2 linked regions of the Nothobranchius furzeri genome follow. The protein of the gene in region 1 interacts with the protein of each later gene in a pairwise test. Links are inferred from orthologs where the notes say so. Each region holds a gene or a part of one and is shown on either strand. Other genes may lie near its edges.

The links. The genes of interacting proteins can lie anywhere in the genome.
Region 2: the proteins of pex3 (region 1) and pex16 interact in binary tests that used the Homo sapiens proteins (3 or more experiments, as listed by UniProt). The link is inferred for Nothobranchius furzeri from reciprocal best matches to the Homo sapiens genes PEX3 and PEX16.

Annotation. Positions count from the first base shown.
Region 1 is NC_091742.1:15,093,597-15,100,121, reverse strand, and holds the start of pex3 (peroxisomal biogenesis factor 3), read left to right. Parts: upstream 1-2,924; 5' UTR 2,925-3,064; coding exon 3,065-3,137; intron 3,138-5,115; coding exon 5,116-5,247; intron 5,248-5,315; coding exon 5,316-5,397; intron 5,398-5,512; coding exon 5,513-5,556; intron 5,557-5,643; coding exon 5,644-5,765; intron 5,766-5,859; coding exon 5,860-5,926; intron 5,927-6,010; coding exon 6,011-6,065; intron 6,066-6,376; coding exon 6,377-6,515; intron 6,516-6,525. Other genes in the region: adat2 (tRNA-specific adenosine deaminase 2), read right to left, coding at 1,319-1,347, 1,524-1,596, 1,659-1,765, 1,831-1,981, 2,117-2,221, 2,436-2,531. UniProt on the Homo sapiens protein: Involved in peroxisome biosynthesis and integrity. Assembles membrane vesicles before the matrix proteins are translocated. As a docking factor for PEX19, is necessary for the import of peroxisomal membrane proteins in the peroxisomes.
Region 2 is NC_091749.1:65,432,067-65,438,629, forward strand, and holds the start of pex16 (peroxisomal biogenesis factor 16), read right to left. Parts: upstream 3,964-6,563; 5' UTR 3,655-3,963; coding exon 3,522-3,654; intron 3,201-3,521; coding exon 3,105-3,200; intron 2,451-3,104; coding exon 2,374-2,450; intron 2,280-2,373; coding exon 2,146-2,279; intron 1,880-2,145; coding exon 1,779-1,879; intron 1,686-1,778; coding exon 1,605-1,685; intron 1,266-1,604; coding exon 1,122-1,265; intron 719-1,121; coding exon 646-718; intron 385-645; coding exon 265-384; intron 1-264. Other genes in the region: cars1 (cysteine--tRNA ligase, cytoplasmic), read left to right, coding at 4,117-4,138, 5,371-5,598. UniProt on the Homo sapiens protein: Required for peroxisome membrane biogenesis. May play a role in early stages of peroxisome assembly. Can recruit other peroxisomal proteins, such as PEX3 and PMP34, to de novo peroxisomes derived from the endoplasmic reticulum (ER).

The DNA.
Region 1 (6,525 bases):
GATTACGTTATCTTCCGACATGTTTTCACAAGCAGTGTATGTGATAAAATCCGTTTGAGTCAGATTTTGCCTGGGTGTTTAGCAACGGTAAAGGGTCACCTTCCCGGTGTGTGTTCTTGATATCCTCCTTGGGGACCTTCAGAACAACTCTTTCAACCGTGACTTTCTCTATCACAATAACGTTATCTTCCGACATGTTTTCACAAGCAGTGTATATGTGATAAAACCCGTTTGAGTCAGATTTTGCCTGGGTGTTGTCTAGCAACGGTAAACGACTCCGAAGTTGCAGTTACGGGATTCGAATACACGAGGGAAGCACGCGCTCAGACGTTCCAATCCAACTTTATTTTCTAAACCACTTCTAAACCAGCACATAAACAAAATAGCCCTGTGTCTAAATAAAAACAAGGGAGGGTCATCAGTATATTCAACAGAAAGTCTGTAAAGTGAGAATCATGTCGGTAATGTTTTATTGTTGCTTTTAAACACAGCAGCTTACTAAATGCAGTGTTTATCAACTACTTTCATATTAGCATATTCTTCTTCTTACAAAAAATAATAACAATAATCATAATGAAGAATGCACAAATATTTTCCGGACACATGAACTTCTTTTTTTTTTAAATGTCAAATGAAAGCAAAATGCTGTTTAATTATGGGTCAAACTTGTTTTTGGTCACAACTAATCAATTTCATTGAGGTTTAATGTTTTTAATGTATTTTCTCTTTAGGTATGTGAAGGAGACGATTTTCTCCAGCTTTTAGGAAATCAGCTGCAAGGGAAAGAGGAAGAATTAGCTGATTCTTTTTCCCTATTAAATCAATTATTTTTGGTGTTAAAATAGTATCTCTCACACACACACACACACACAATGCGTGCATGCATGTGGACACATCGTGACAGCTTGATGTGTGGGAGCGATCTGTGTGCTGATGGTCGACATCTTGCATCACAGCGTGAAACGTTTGGAGCTGATGTCGCCAATCAGAACCATGGATAACACACACACACACAGTGGTTTGTTTTACATCTGCAGTTTCACTACAAACTTCTGCCTCCATGATTCCACAAACCAATAAACCCCCCAAATCCTCAGAAATGTTAAACTTTATGATTTTTGACATTTAGTTTTAACTGCAGCTTCATGTTTCTGTGTTTTCCTCTTCATTCAGTTTTACAGGTCAGCTGGTAAAGAGCGCCCATGCTGGGGAACTGGAGAAATGAGGAAATAAGACATTAAAAGTCATTATCTAGAAATAAAAATGATTTTATTACAATAAAAATCTATAAAATACACATTAAAACAATTTGTTCAGGTCAGTCCTTCCTTGGTTTGGGCTTTGGGGCTGAAACAGACAAAAGAATAATTGATTTTAATTCTCTGAGCAAATGAATTGGAATAAATCAGTTGTCAGAACTGAAACGATTTCTGATGTAAAGGTATTTTTGTCAGAAAGAGTTAAATAACTTTTCAGTAACATCAACATTGGTTTATTAGCTGGTCAGTAATCAAACATTTTACCATTTGGATTTTCTTGCTTATAGAAAGTTTTGAGCATCTCTATGGCTTCTTCTGCTCTGTGGCCTGAAACACACTGAACACACGTGTTTATAAAACAGTGAGCAGCTGGTCAACGTGGCACAAATGAATAAACACCTTAAATGTGGTCCCAGTGTGAGGAAGGTCTGCAGAGGAAATGTCCAGAACTGATCCGCACCCCCCAAAACGCTCGTTTCTGCAACCGTAGGCAACCACGGGGATATCTGGGAGCTGGTTAAGGACAACAAACACACACACACACACACACTCTCAGGTCGGGGGAGGATACTGACGAGGCGCAGGGCTGCGGCACACATGATGCACGGCTCCACTGTGACGTACAGGACAGTCTGCTCACACACGCTCTTTGTGTCCAGGTTGCTATGGCGACACCAGTCCAAGACCTGGTCCAAGGAGACCATCTCAGCGTGACGAGTTGCCTGAAAACCATCAGAAATTTTGAACTGGTCTCATGATGAAGCCAACACAGTTTTAGCTCCTGGAGACCACCAGGATCTTATGTCCTGACTGATCCTGCTGTAAGGCTCTTTAAAGGTTGTTTAGATTTTTCCTACATTTTTAGTCTCGTTGACTTCATTCCTCCCTCTCCCCACCACTTCATCCTTGTAAACCATCAGACATCCTACAGGAACTTCTCCGTTCTCCAGAGCATCTCTGGCCTGCAGAAACACATTCAACATTCAGCTCACCACCACCAGGCGCCTTATACTCCTGAACCAGAAATATCTAACACACGTTTCAGCCAATCAAACAAAACAATTCCTGTTCGTTTTCATTTGGTTGATACCAACTTATGATTACAAAATCATTTATCATAAAAACTTATTTAAAAAAATTAAATGTTTCTTCGCTACATTTGAATGAAGACATTACCATTTCAAAAGCGCTGCACATCCATTTCTCTATTTCCTCATCAGTCGGACAAAACCGCTCCAAAGAATCAGGATTTTCACCCTCCTCTGATCCCATGGCGTCAGGAGTGATGTAAAATATCTTTGAAACTGGAGATATTTAGTTAAATTCAGTTTTTGGAGCGTATTTTCAGCTTTTAGTCACTCATTTGAAGCGCTTAGCACAGTGGGGGAAGATAATATTAAACGGACCACTTTCGGATGCGACCAATCACCTTTCTCACAAATTGTGCGCTAAAACCGGAAGTAGAATGTTCCCACAAATGTCAGGAAGATTTGCCAGGACCAATTATTTTATAGTTCTCATTGATTATAGAACAGCACTTAATTAGTACAACCGTTTCTTTATTTTAATGTGACGTGGATTCGCAATTCTATTATCTAATGATCATTTGCACTTCCGTTGCCCAGAGCGTTTTATTTTGAAGTCCTAAACCGGATGTCTCAGCTACACCCTTGATCAGCAAATTTGTGACAGTTAGCTTGGTAGCTAAGAGCTGCAGTCAGAAACTCTTCCACTAAAATGTTTATTAAAAAGTGAAGCCAAGAGATAAAAGTGCGGAGGGGTTTTGGAGTTCTACTTTCCTGAAGATGTTTTCGTCTGTCTGGAATTTTATAAAACGCCATAAAAAGAAATTCATTTTCACCGGAGCAGTCGTTGGAGGTAAGGGGGTAGTCCCCACACACGCCGGACACCACGAATAAACCCTTTAAAAACTAGTTTTGGTGATAAAATGAACCATGTGTATTTTAAAAGTTATTTAAAGAGCGATTAGGAACATTAAGATGATCTTTTTTTCGGCTTTAGAATACTTTACCGATTCAAATATAAAATGTTTTTGTCATATTTGTCAAAACTAAAAATGCTTACAGATATGTATTTTTTATCTCTGTGCTGCACAACATCACATTTCTCCCTGTCTCTGATGTAAACATGATTCACTGTAGTGAAACTTTATGTGAGGATCATGTGAGCCTTGCGCGGTTCTGGAGGAATTCTGGCCCACTTATGAGTTGTGGGATTTGCACCATTTGCTCCCCAACGTCTCATCACAAGCTTTCGGTGGGGGTGGAGGTCTGGACTTTGATCATTGCCACATGATTCTAGCTGCGTTTGGGATCCGTGTCCAGATTTATTACCCAGTCTGGTTTTCATGGTCTCATTTTTGCTGGGAGCCCAAACCATCACCCCTCCACCACCTTGTCCACAGCTAGCGGGAGCGGTTTGGGTTTCTCCTAACGTTCTGCTGTGCCATCCATCCATCCATCCATTTTCATCTGCTTATCCGGGAGTCAGGTCGCGGGGGCAGTAGCCTAAGGCTAGAGGCCCAGACTTCCCTCTCCCCAGCCACTTGGGCCAGCTCCTCTGGGGGAATCCCAAGGCGTTCCCTGGCCAGGTGAGAGACATAGTCCCTCCACCGTGTCCTGGGTCTACCTTTAGGCCTCCTCCCGGTTGGACGTGCCCGGAAAACCTCACCAGGGAGGCGTCCAGGAGGCATCCTGTCCAGATGCCCGAGCCACCTCAACTGGCTCCTCTCGATGTGGAGGAGCAGCGGGTCTACTCCGAGCCCCTCCCGAATGACTGAGCTTCTCACCCTATCTCTAAGGGAGAGCCCAGCCGCTCTTCGGATAAAACTCATTTCGGCCGCTTGTATCCGTGATCTCGTTCTTTCTGTCACTACCCAAAGCTCATGACCATAGGTGAAGGTAGGAACGTAGATCGACCGGTAAATAGAGAGCTTCGCCTTCCGACTCAACTCTCTCTTCACCACGACAGACTGGTGCAATGGCCGCATCACTGCAGATGCAGCACCAATCCGCCTATTCACGCTCCAGTTTTCCCTCACTTGTGAACAAGACCCCGAGATACTCAAACTCCTCCACTTGGGGCAGGACCTCATCCCTGACCTGGAGAGGGCATTCTACCATTTTCTCATGGTCTCAGATTTAGAGGAGCTGATTCTCATCCCAGCTGCGTCACACTCAGCTGCAAACCGCTCCAGCGAAAACTGAAGATCACGTTCTGATGAAGCCAACAGGACCACATCATCTGCAAAAAGCAGAGACCTGATCCTCAGGCCACCATAATGGATATCCTCAACACCTTGGCTGCGCCCATAAATCCTGTCCATGAAGGTTATGAACAGAATCGGTGACAAAGGGCAGCCTTGGCAGAGTCCAACTCTCCCTGGGAACGAGCCCGACTTACTGCCGGCAATGCTGACCAAGCTCTGACACCGGTCATACAGCCCATATCAGAGGGCTCTGCTGTGCATTATGGGTAAACACCACTTTGGTCCAAAGGCTATTGCTCTAGAAGTCTTGTTCAGGATTTCTCCTGCAGCCTTTCTAAGCCGGCCACACTTGTTCAGTGTTTCCTGACCTGCAGCATTAACACACACCTGTATGCTCCGGAGCAGCTGAGCTCTTCTCTGCTGCAGTTCTCTGAACTCCTATGGAACCAGGTTCGGGTTTGGTTCCTGTTAAAATCTGTTTAGTATTTTTCTTTCAAAGCTGAATAATAACAGATGGCTTCTTTTGCTATTTAGTTTAAAAAATATCAGAATATAACGGATCCCCCCACGGTGCTGCAGCTGGCCCTCCATGTTTTTGTGTTCACCTCCTATTTGGTTCCTTCTCAGGAGTTTACATTTTTGGAAGATATGCCCAAAAGAAGATCAGAGACATCCAAGAGAAGGAGGCGACGGAGTACATCGCCCAGGCCAGACGGCAGTTCCACTTCGAGAGCAACCAGCGAACCTGCAACATGACCGGTAGGGTTAGGGTAAGGGCTAGGGTCGGCCTGAGCTGAGGAGCGAGGCTCACCGTTTCTGTGTTTCAGTTCTGTCGATGCTCCCGCCGCTCAGAGAGGCCGTCGTCGCTCAGCTGAACTCCGAGACGCTCACCGCGCTGCTGAAGACCAAGTCAGACGACACATTAGCGTTCCCATCATCAGACTTTATTCTGTTATCTAACACAAAATACACATTTGCTTGTTTTAGGTGTTTAAATAAAGATGTTTAAATCTTTTTCCTCCAGACCAGCTAATAAACTGGAGATCTGGGAAGATTTAAAAATCATCAGTAAGTTTTAAACTCGGCAGAACATTTGATTAAAGTATTTTTTTTCTGGCCTCCTGAGACTCAGGATCTGTTGTTTGTGGTCTTCAGGCTTCACCCGCACCATCGTGGCCGTCTACAGCACTTGCATGCTGGTGGTTCTCCTTCGAGTGCAGCTCAACATCATCGGAGGTTACCTGTACCTGGATAACTCTGTAGGGAAGAGCATAACGGTGAGGATGGAGCTGCACCACGCGCTGCAGGTGTGGAAGCTCGGCAGGGAAATGGAAAGAAACGAGGATCTGATGTTTGCTTTTTATTACCCAGAATCCTCTGGCTCCTGCAGACGTCCAGCAGCAGTACTTGTCCAGCATCCAGCATCTCCTCGGAGACGGTAGGGGACAGATCTCCTCCTGCAGATTGACTTCAGACCCTAGCGTGTGTGTGGGTTGTGTAACGTCTCCGCGCGTCTCCCCAGGGTTAAACGAGTTAATAACAGTGGTGAAGAGGGCCGTGCAGCGCTCGCTGGGAAGGTGAGTTTTAGGTTTCTGTCTGCAAAACGTCCGAAAGTCACACATTTTTATTTGTGTGATCGCATGATTGTGGTGTACGGAGAGCCAAAAGTGCCACAATACAATAAAAAATAAAGAATTCAGTATTTATTTAACATGTCTTAAACTTAAAAAGTCTTATTTATTGAATCATAAAACAAAACCTTAAAGTTTTTAAAATATGTTTTTATATTTTAGTCTCATTCGTGTCAGATTTGAGTTATTTGTTGATTTTGGCCCTTCTGGCCCTCCGTAGTAGAACAGCAGTTGACGAGTCTCCCGTTGGTGTCCAGCGTGTCTCTGAAGCAGAGTTTGTCCCTGCTGGAGCTGGAGCAGCAGCTGAGCTGGATCAGAGCCGAGGTGGAGTCCGACTCGGAGCGCCCGATGTCCCGCTTCCTGCTGGCGGACGACGAGAACGCCCTGGCTGAGCAGGTGAGCGGCG
Region 2 (6,563 bases), on another chromosome or scaffold:
GATGCTCGGATCAACCAGGCCAGTCCTACAATCAGAGGCTCGGTGACAAGTTCTATCCTTCAGTTGTTGCTATGGTAACCGATGGTCCGAAACAGGAAGTTCGTACCCTAAAGAGGGAATTCTCGATGAAAGCCTGAAACTTCCTACAAATGAGCTCCAGCCGTTTCGCCTGAAAATGGATCCGGAGCACCTGGTTAAGTCCAGAGATGCCGAGAACCTGTTCTACCTGCTTTGGGTCAGAACCCCGAGGTCAGTGATACTTACTCAGAGTATTTATCATAGAAAGGTGAACGCAGCAGGTAATACAGCAGCAGGAAGCCCCGCCTCCTCATCTCAGCCTGCTCCCACCGGGTTTGGAATCTGGCGTCACTGAGAACGGCGAAGCTGGAAGGAACGGGTCGGATATAAAATTAAAAAAAAACATTTCCATGTATTTTAAAGTAAACAGGTGATTCCCACAAAACTGGGTTAACATCCTGACTGGAATCTCGTGGCACATGGGAGCTGAAATATCCTGATTAAGTTGTTTTAAAATCTAAAACAGACTTTTCTAAACTAACGTTTCTCAAATGTCACAACAGACATATTTATTTAGTAAATCAGGTTTTTGTTTAATTCTGAATCCAGTAAACGGGGTTAGCTCACCTGGACAGTTCCAGGAATCCAGAGACGAGCCACGGCTTCCAGGACTGTTTCCCACAGAGTCCCAGACAAAGGACTGCAGTCAGGAAGACCCAATTTAAGGAAAACCGGTGTTAAATGTCTACTAAACTTTAATTTTTGTGTTTTTAATTTAAAATATTTAGTTTTATAAAAGACAAAATGGAATCGTCATTTAAAGAATTTCACCCTAACTGGTTGTGATGTTCTGAGAAAATGTGTTTGAAATCAGAATAAAAGGAGATTAAATCTACAAAACAGACAGTAAAATGCTGATTCAGCATCTACAGGTAAAAAAAAACCTGATTAAAAGCCTGTTACTGTCTGTGAAACACTTGAAGAAAGCCGGACCACGGCGCCCCCTTCTGGCTGGAGCCATTTAAATTCTGAGTAACACGTCAGGAGGAAACATTCCCATCCGGGAGAACGTTCTGGAGCAGGATCAACATCTGGAAGGATACGGTGAACGAGAGGCCGGCTGATGTACACGGACTCGGCCACAGTCTCCTGGAGGCCCAGTTCTGTTGGTGTACTGTTCTCTGCCAAACTGCTCCTCCTGTTCCTCTGGACCGGAGCTCCCCACAGACGGTTCTGGAGAGACGGTGCTGACCCAGTGAATGGAGACAGAAGGAGGTTAATCTGACGGTTCTTCCCACTTTCTGCCAAACTTCAGATCTGTGGGAAAGCTCAGTTTCTTTAGATTTTACATCCATGAAGAAAATATGAAGATCTGAGGAGGATCGGGACTTCCGGACCAGATCGGGAGGTTTACAGGACACTTTAACAGCAAAAATTTGTTTTTGTTTATTTTAATAAAATAAAATAAAAAATAAACACGAAATAAGTAGAACTTCCTTTTGTGACTTAAAAATCCTTTTGTTCTGGATAATAGCCGACCAGCTTAAACCTTCTAGGATGATTAAACTTAAAATCTGATTTCTCACCGCTGCCAAGTGGCCTGATGACTCGCCCTGACCTTTGACCCACGAAGCAAGAGTCCTCCTGCTGCTCACTGTTACTTTCAGCTGTGCAGAAAACACTTATTCATACATCCGTCATTGTTAAGACTCAACGGATACAGACAGGTCCTTTATTATTAAAAAAAAGGCTGATATAACCTTCACCAACACATTCTGCACTCCTGTCCAGAGGGATTATGGGAGGTGAAGTCCCGAGGCCAGATTTATACACCAGAAGAAGAACGAGGCGGAAAACTGTCCTGAGAAAAAAGGAAACGGAGAGATTTAGCAGCTACTGGAATGTTTTATCAGTCCTTAAAAGACTTTTACAGCAGGGTTGGGGCTTAAAGCATCCCGACATACTAAATGGAGAAACCCATCAGCTGATTCAGCAAAAAGGCTAAAACTCAAGATGTTTCCAGAGAGGACAAACATTCATGTTTCTCCTGATCAGAACAAACCGTCCTCATGAGCCTGAAATGAAGTCAAAAATGTTCTTTACTGTGACAGAAAAGGGGGGGCATACTTAAAAATCTGAATGAGTCCAATCACCAGCCAACGGCCGACTTCCCCCCACAGCTTGAAGGCTCCCATTTCCAGGAAAACCTGCACGTACTCGAGCACCGACAGCCAGTTTAGTAGTCTCTGCTGAGACAGGGACTAGAGACACACATGGTTGGAGGGGGCTTTAAATCGTCCTAAACTCTGGTAAGATCAGGATTTATTCCACAACTGGACGTGTTTCTAGGCTAACCTTGGTGAGGGAACATCTCAGTCCTCGGCGCAGGATGCTGTCATTAAACAGCACCAGCAGGTTGGAGGCAGAATACACTGAAAATGACAAAACCAGGACAAAAATTAGAGACACGATCACAACCATCCCAGGACAAAGCTGTGAAATGTAATGGTCACCCCCTCACCTGGGACATCAGAATAGTTTGTTCTTTGTGATTTTCTTGGTTTTTGCTGCAGCTTCTGAAGCTTAGCTGATTACTTTTATTTCCTTGATGAGACTAGATTTAAAAGTCCTTTAGCCGGGTGATATTTTACCTGGTAACTGGGAACACAAACCCTCCCAGACTTTTATTCAAAAGCTTAAAAGCAGACTTGTGAGCTCCGTTCATTAAACGTGACCAAATCCAGCAAATATGACAGCAGAAGCGTGACCCAGATCCTGGTAACAGACTCACATTTATTCATCAGAACCAGTCAGAACCAGGTAGTCTGATGCTTTATGTCTGGTACCAGAGCCTTTTATGGCTCACAGCTACACTGATACTTCAATCCAGAATAAACAATGACTTTGCTTTTTTTTTGTTCAGATGAAAAGAAAAAAAATCACAACAAATGTTTTTCACAATTTGGAATTTTCAGACATTTTTAAAGTTTGGGCCTTTAAAAAAAGGGATTTACCACCTGAAGCAACAGTTTGCTGATGAGACAAATGATAAAAAGCAGGAAGAATGACTGAATCGTTTTACTCACCAAGTTCAGAAATCTCATGAGAATCTGCAAACCGCCCTGGAATACAGAAAGGTGTAAACATTGAAGCAGCTGCGTGCAGGACTAAACCTGCTGTTTCTGAAAGGAAAATGAAACTCAGCTCTGGGTAGGGTCACAGTTCAAGGTTACATCAACAATACGCTGAGCCACTAATTTATTTGTTTTTTATATTCAGGAGAGACAGGTAAACATTTTGTTTTTATTGTGTGGTTTTTATTGTATTATTTACTTAACAACCTAACAAGAAGCAATGGCGACGCGCAGATTCATTAGAACATCAAACCTAAGGAGAAGTCCAGTTATGTCTGCTTGGAAGGAAAATACAAACAAACGAGGACTAGACTGGAGCTTTCCGATCGAAACTGGACACATCTTAATCTTTTTTATGAGCAGACTTACCTGCGATCAGGTAGGAGACTGTCCTCACGGTGCTCTCCAGATGTGCAGTGGCAGCTGGATTCCTCCTCACATAGTCCGTGTAGCGCTCATATAGACGACTCGCAGCGTCTATGTACTCCTTAAAATGAGACATGTCAGCTCTAGCTGAAGCATTAAGTCCTCATTTAGTTACCAACGTTCATAAATTATCCACAACCAGTTAATGAGCTCAGCTCGACTTGTTTTTGAAAAGTAAACAAACTTCCGCTTCCTCTACTTCTTCTTTTTTAGGAATTCACGACTCTTTCCGTTCTGAAAAGGTTTACTGCCCCTTGTTGGATTTAATACTCAACTACATCCGTTCTCGAGTTTATATTAGTTAAATAAAGTTCTAATATTTTCATCAAAAAACTTAATTTTGATTTATCAAACTTTCAAAAATATTTGAAGAATAATTTCAGCTTTTCCACCTACATTTTTGTGGTGACCGTAAAGCACACATACACAACAGACGAACGCTGCCCTTTAAAATCAAAAGCAAAGGTACGCGTGCTAGTTCCGGTCCGGGCGGGCACGTTATTGTTGCATCAGCATCCTCTCATTTAACACAGTGGTCATGTCGAGCTCAGGAGAGACAGGTAAACATTTTGTTTTTATTGTGTGGTTTTTATTTTATTATATATTTAGTTAACAACCTAACAAGTAGCAATGGCGTTTCCGTTATATGTTGAACTGTCACAAGAAATTAGCGCCAGCTACATCTGTTAGCGAGCAGCTAAAGGCAGTTCTGATGACAAACCAAAGTCCCTTCAACTATTAGACGATTCTAGATTCAAGCTTATGGGGTTTAATCTTCAAAGCACAGATGACTCGGGAGTTATACGACCTTTTAACATGTGAGGACAGTTTTAATATCGGCATATTTAGTTTAACAAAAAAATGAAGCAAATATGTGATGCGCTTATTTATTGATGACCATGTTTATATTACGGTATTACATGTATATATTATATTACGGTGGAAGAAGAGTAAAAAAACGAAAAAAAAATATACACAGCCATACAGATGACTAAATAGTTTGTTTTATTTTATTTTCAATTATAAAAGAATGTCTTTTAGCCTGCATCCTTATTGCATCCTGATAAATCAGAATAACAATTTCATCCTTTTTGTCTCTTTGTGTTAGATTATCTTTTATTTTCCTTTTAGGTTTTGTTTTCCATGTTTTTCTTTCATTTTCTTCTTTAGTTGTTAGTTTCTGTTTGACTCATCTCAGGTGTGGCAGAAAATGCCATCAGTTTGTTTCAGTTTCATTCTGAGTAGTGGTCCTGGATGGTTGTGTTTGCAGCATCATTTTCCTTATTGTGCATAGTTATTTGTGCATAGTTGTGTGATCTTTATTTTATCAGAGCTTTTTTGCTGGTCATTTAGTGTCACATCATTTTACCTGTTCTAGTGATTAATTTTGTTTAGTTTCTCCTTCCAGGTTAAATTAGAGGCTGGTTTGAAGCTTGTATTGGTTAGATTCGTCAGGACAGTCGCGTTTATTCTGCAGGTTTCACCCAGAAGTCTTCTTCTTGCTGCTGTCAGTCCGATCAGTCCATTAACTACCTTCTGAGTACCTCAAAGGAACCAAACTGAATGAAAAAGCAGCCGGATTCCAAACTGAAGTATATAAAAAAACCTTCAGCAAGGTTGGAGAACTTTTCTTCTCTAGCTCTCCAGCGTTTCGAAAGCTTGAACCAGGATCTTTGCTCTATATAAACTTATCGATTCCAGGTTTTTAGTTGGGTTGTGTTAGTTATTATCAACAGCATGTTGCTGCTTGGTCGGTAACGATTTGCGAACGTTTGCCCTCTTGTTTCTGCAGCCTTTGAGTTTGGCTTCTTGCTGCAGATAAATGAGGAGGCTGCACTGACAGCAGCCCTGAACGACTACCTCTCCTCACGCAGCTACCTGGCTGGGTTTGGTCCCTCCCAGGCCGACCTGAAAGTCTTTAAGCTCCTCCCCCGGCCCCCCGATCCGCAGCACCTTCACGCTCTGCGCTGGTACAGACACATAGCTGCCCTGCAGCAGGACGACACCACAGAGAGCAGCAGTGAGTAGACGGTTTCCGGCATGAACAGAAGACTGAAGGCCTTCTGAAGCTCATCAGCAGGCATTTTTGCTATTTATTCTTGCAGCAGTTTGTGTGTGAGGCGCCTGTGGCTGAACTCCTGGAAGGATCCGTTCATCACTGCTTAAACAACATAACAGAACACTAAACAAACTGCACTCCTGTGTTGGTTTTAGCTGCAACGCGTAGCTTCAGATCTCAGAAAAGCTGCAGCAAACATTTCTGGATGTTTTTGTGTCTCTTCTCTGCAGCCCAGAGCAGACTGATTAAACCTGCAGAAGTAAATGACAAAATGTAAGAAATCAGTGATTGGATGGTGATTTTTACAAACCAGTATAAATATTGCTAACTGGTAAAGCAGCCCAGTTCTGTGTTCCTTCCCAGCAGTCGGACTTTCCTGTCTTTTTTTAAAGTGACTCAGAGACAAAGTTTTTCTTTGGACTTTTGCTGCTTTTTCTCTGTTTCAGTTTGTGTTTGTGAACATCTTCAGAGGAGAAACCACTTGGTTTGTCTGATACACTTTATGATCTCAGATCTTTTAAAGTGTGTTTCTCTGGAGAGGTCTGGATTAAAAATGGTCCTAATCCTGGTACTGAGGGCTGATCCTGAGCTCTTGTACAGCTCTGGGGTCTCATTTCTCAAACATTGTGTAGAATCCTTACTAAAACCGTACTTAAGCTCTGCAAAAAAATTTACTCACGCCAAGTAGGTTTGTGATCTATCAAACATGGAGTACGCACAGCTGCACGCAATCTCCACTTCATAAATCGGAGACTAACGAGAATGTTTCTCAGCTGCATTTTAGTCACATCCCGCCCTCACCACACCCACTTACTGCCATAAATGGTCAATGCAAAGTGCCTTGTGGATCTCATGCATATACATAAGGTGGCTGTTGCAGCGCTCCGCCAATGACATGGCGACCGTAGATCAAGGCAGATCAAGGA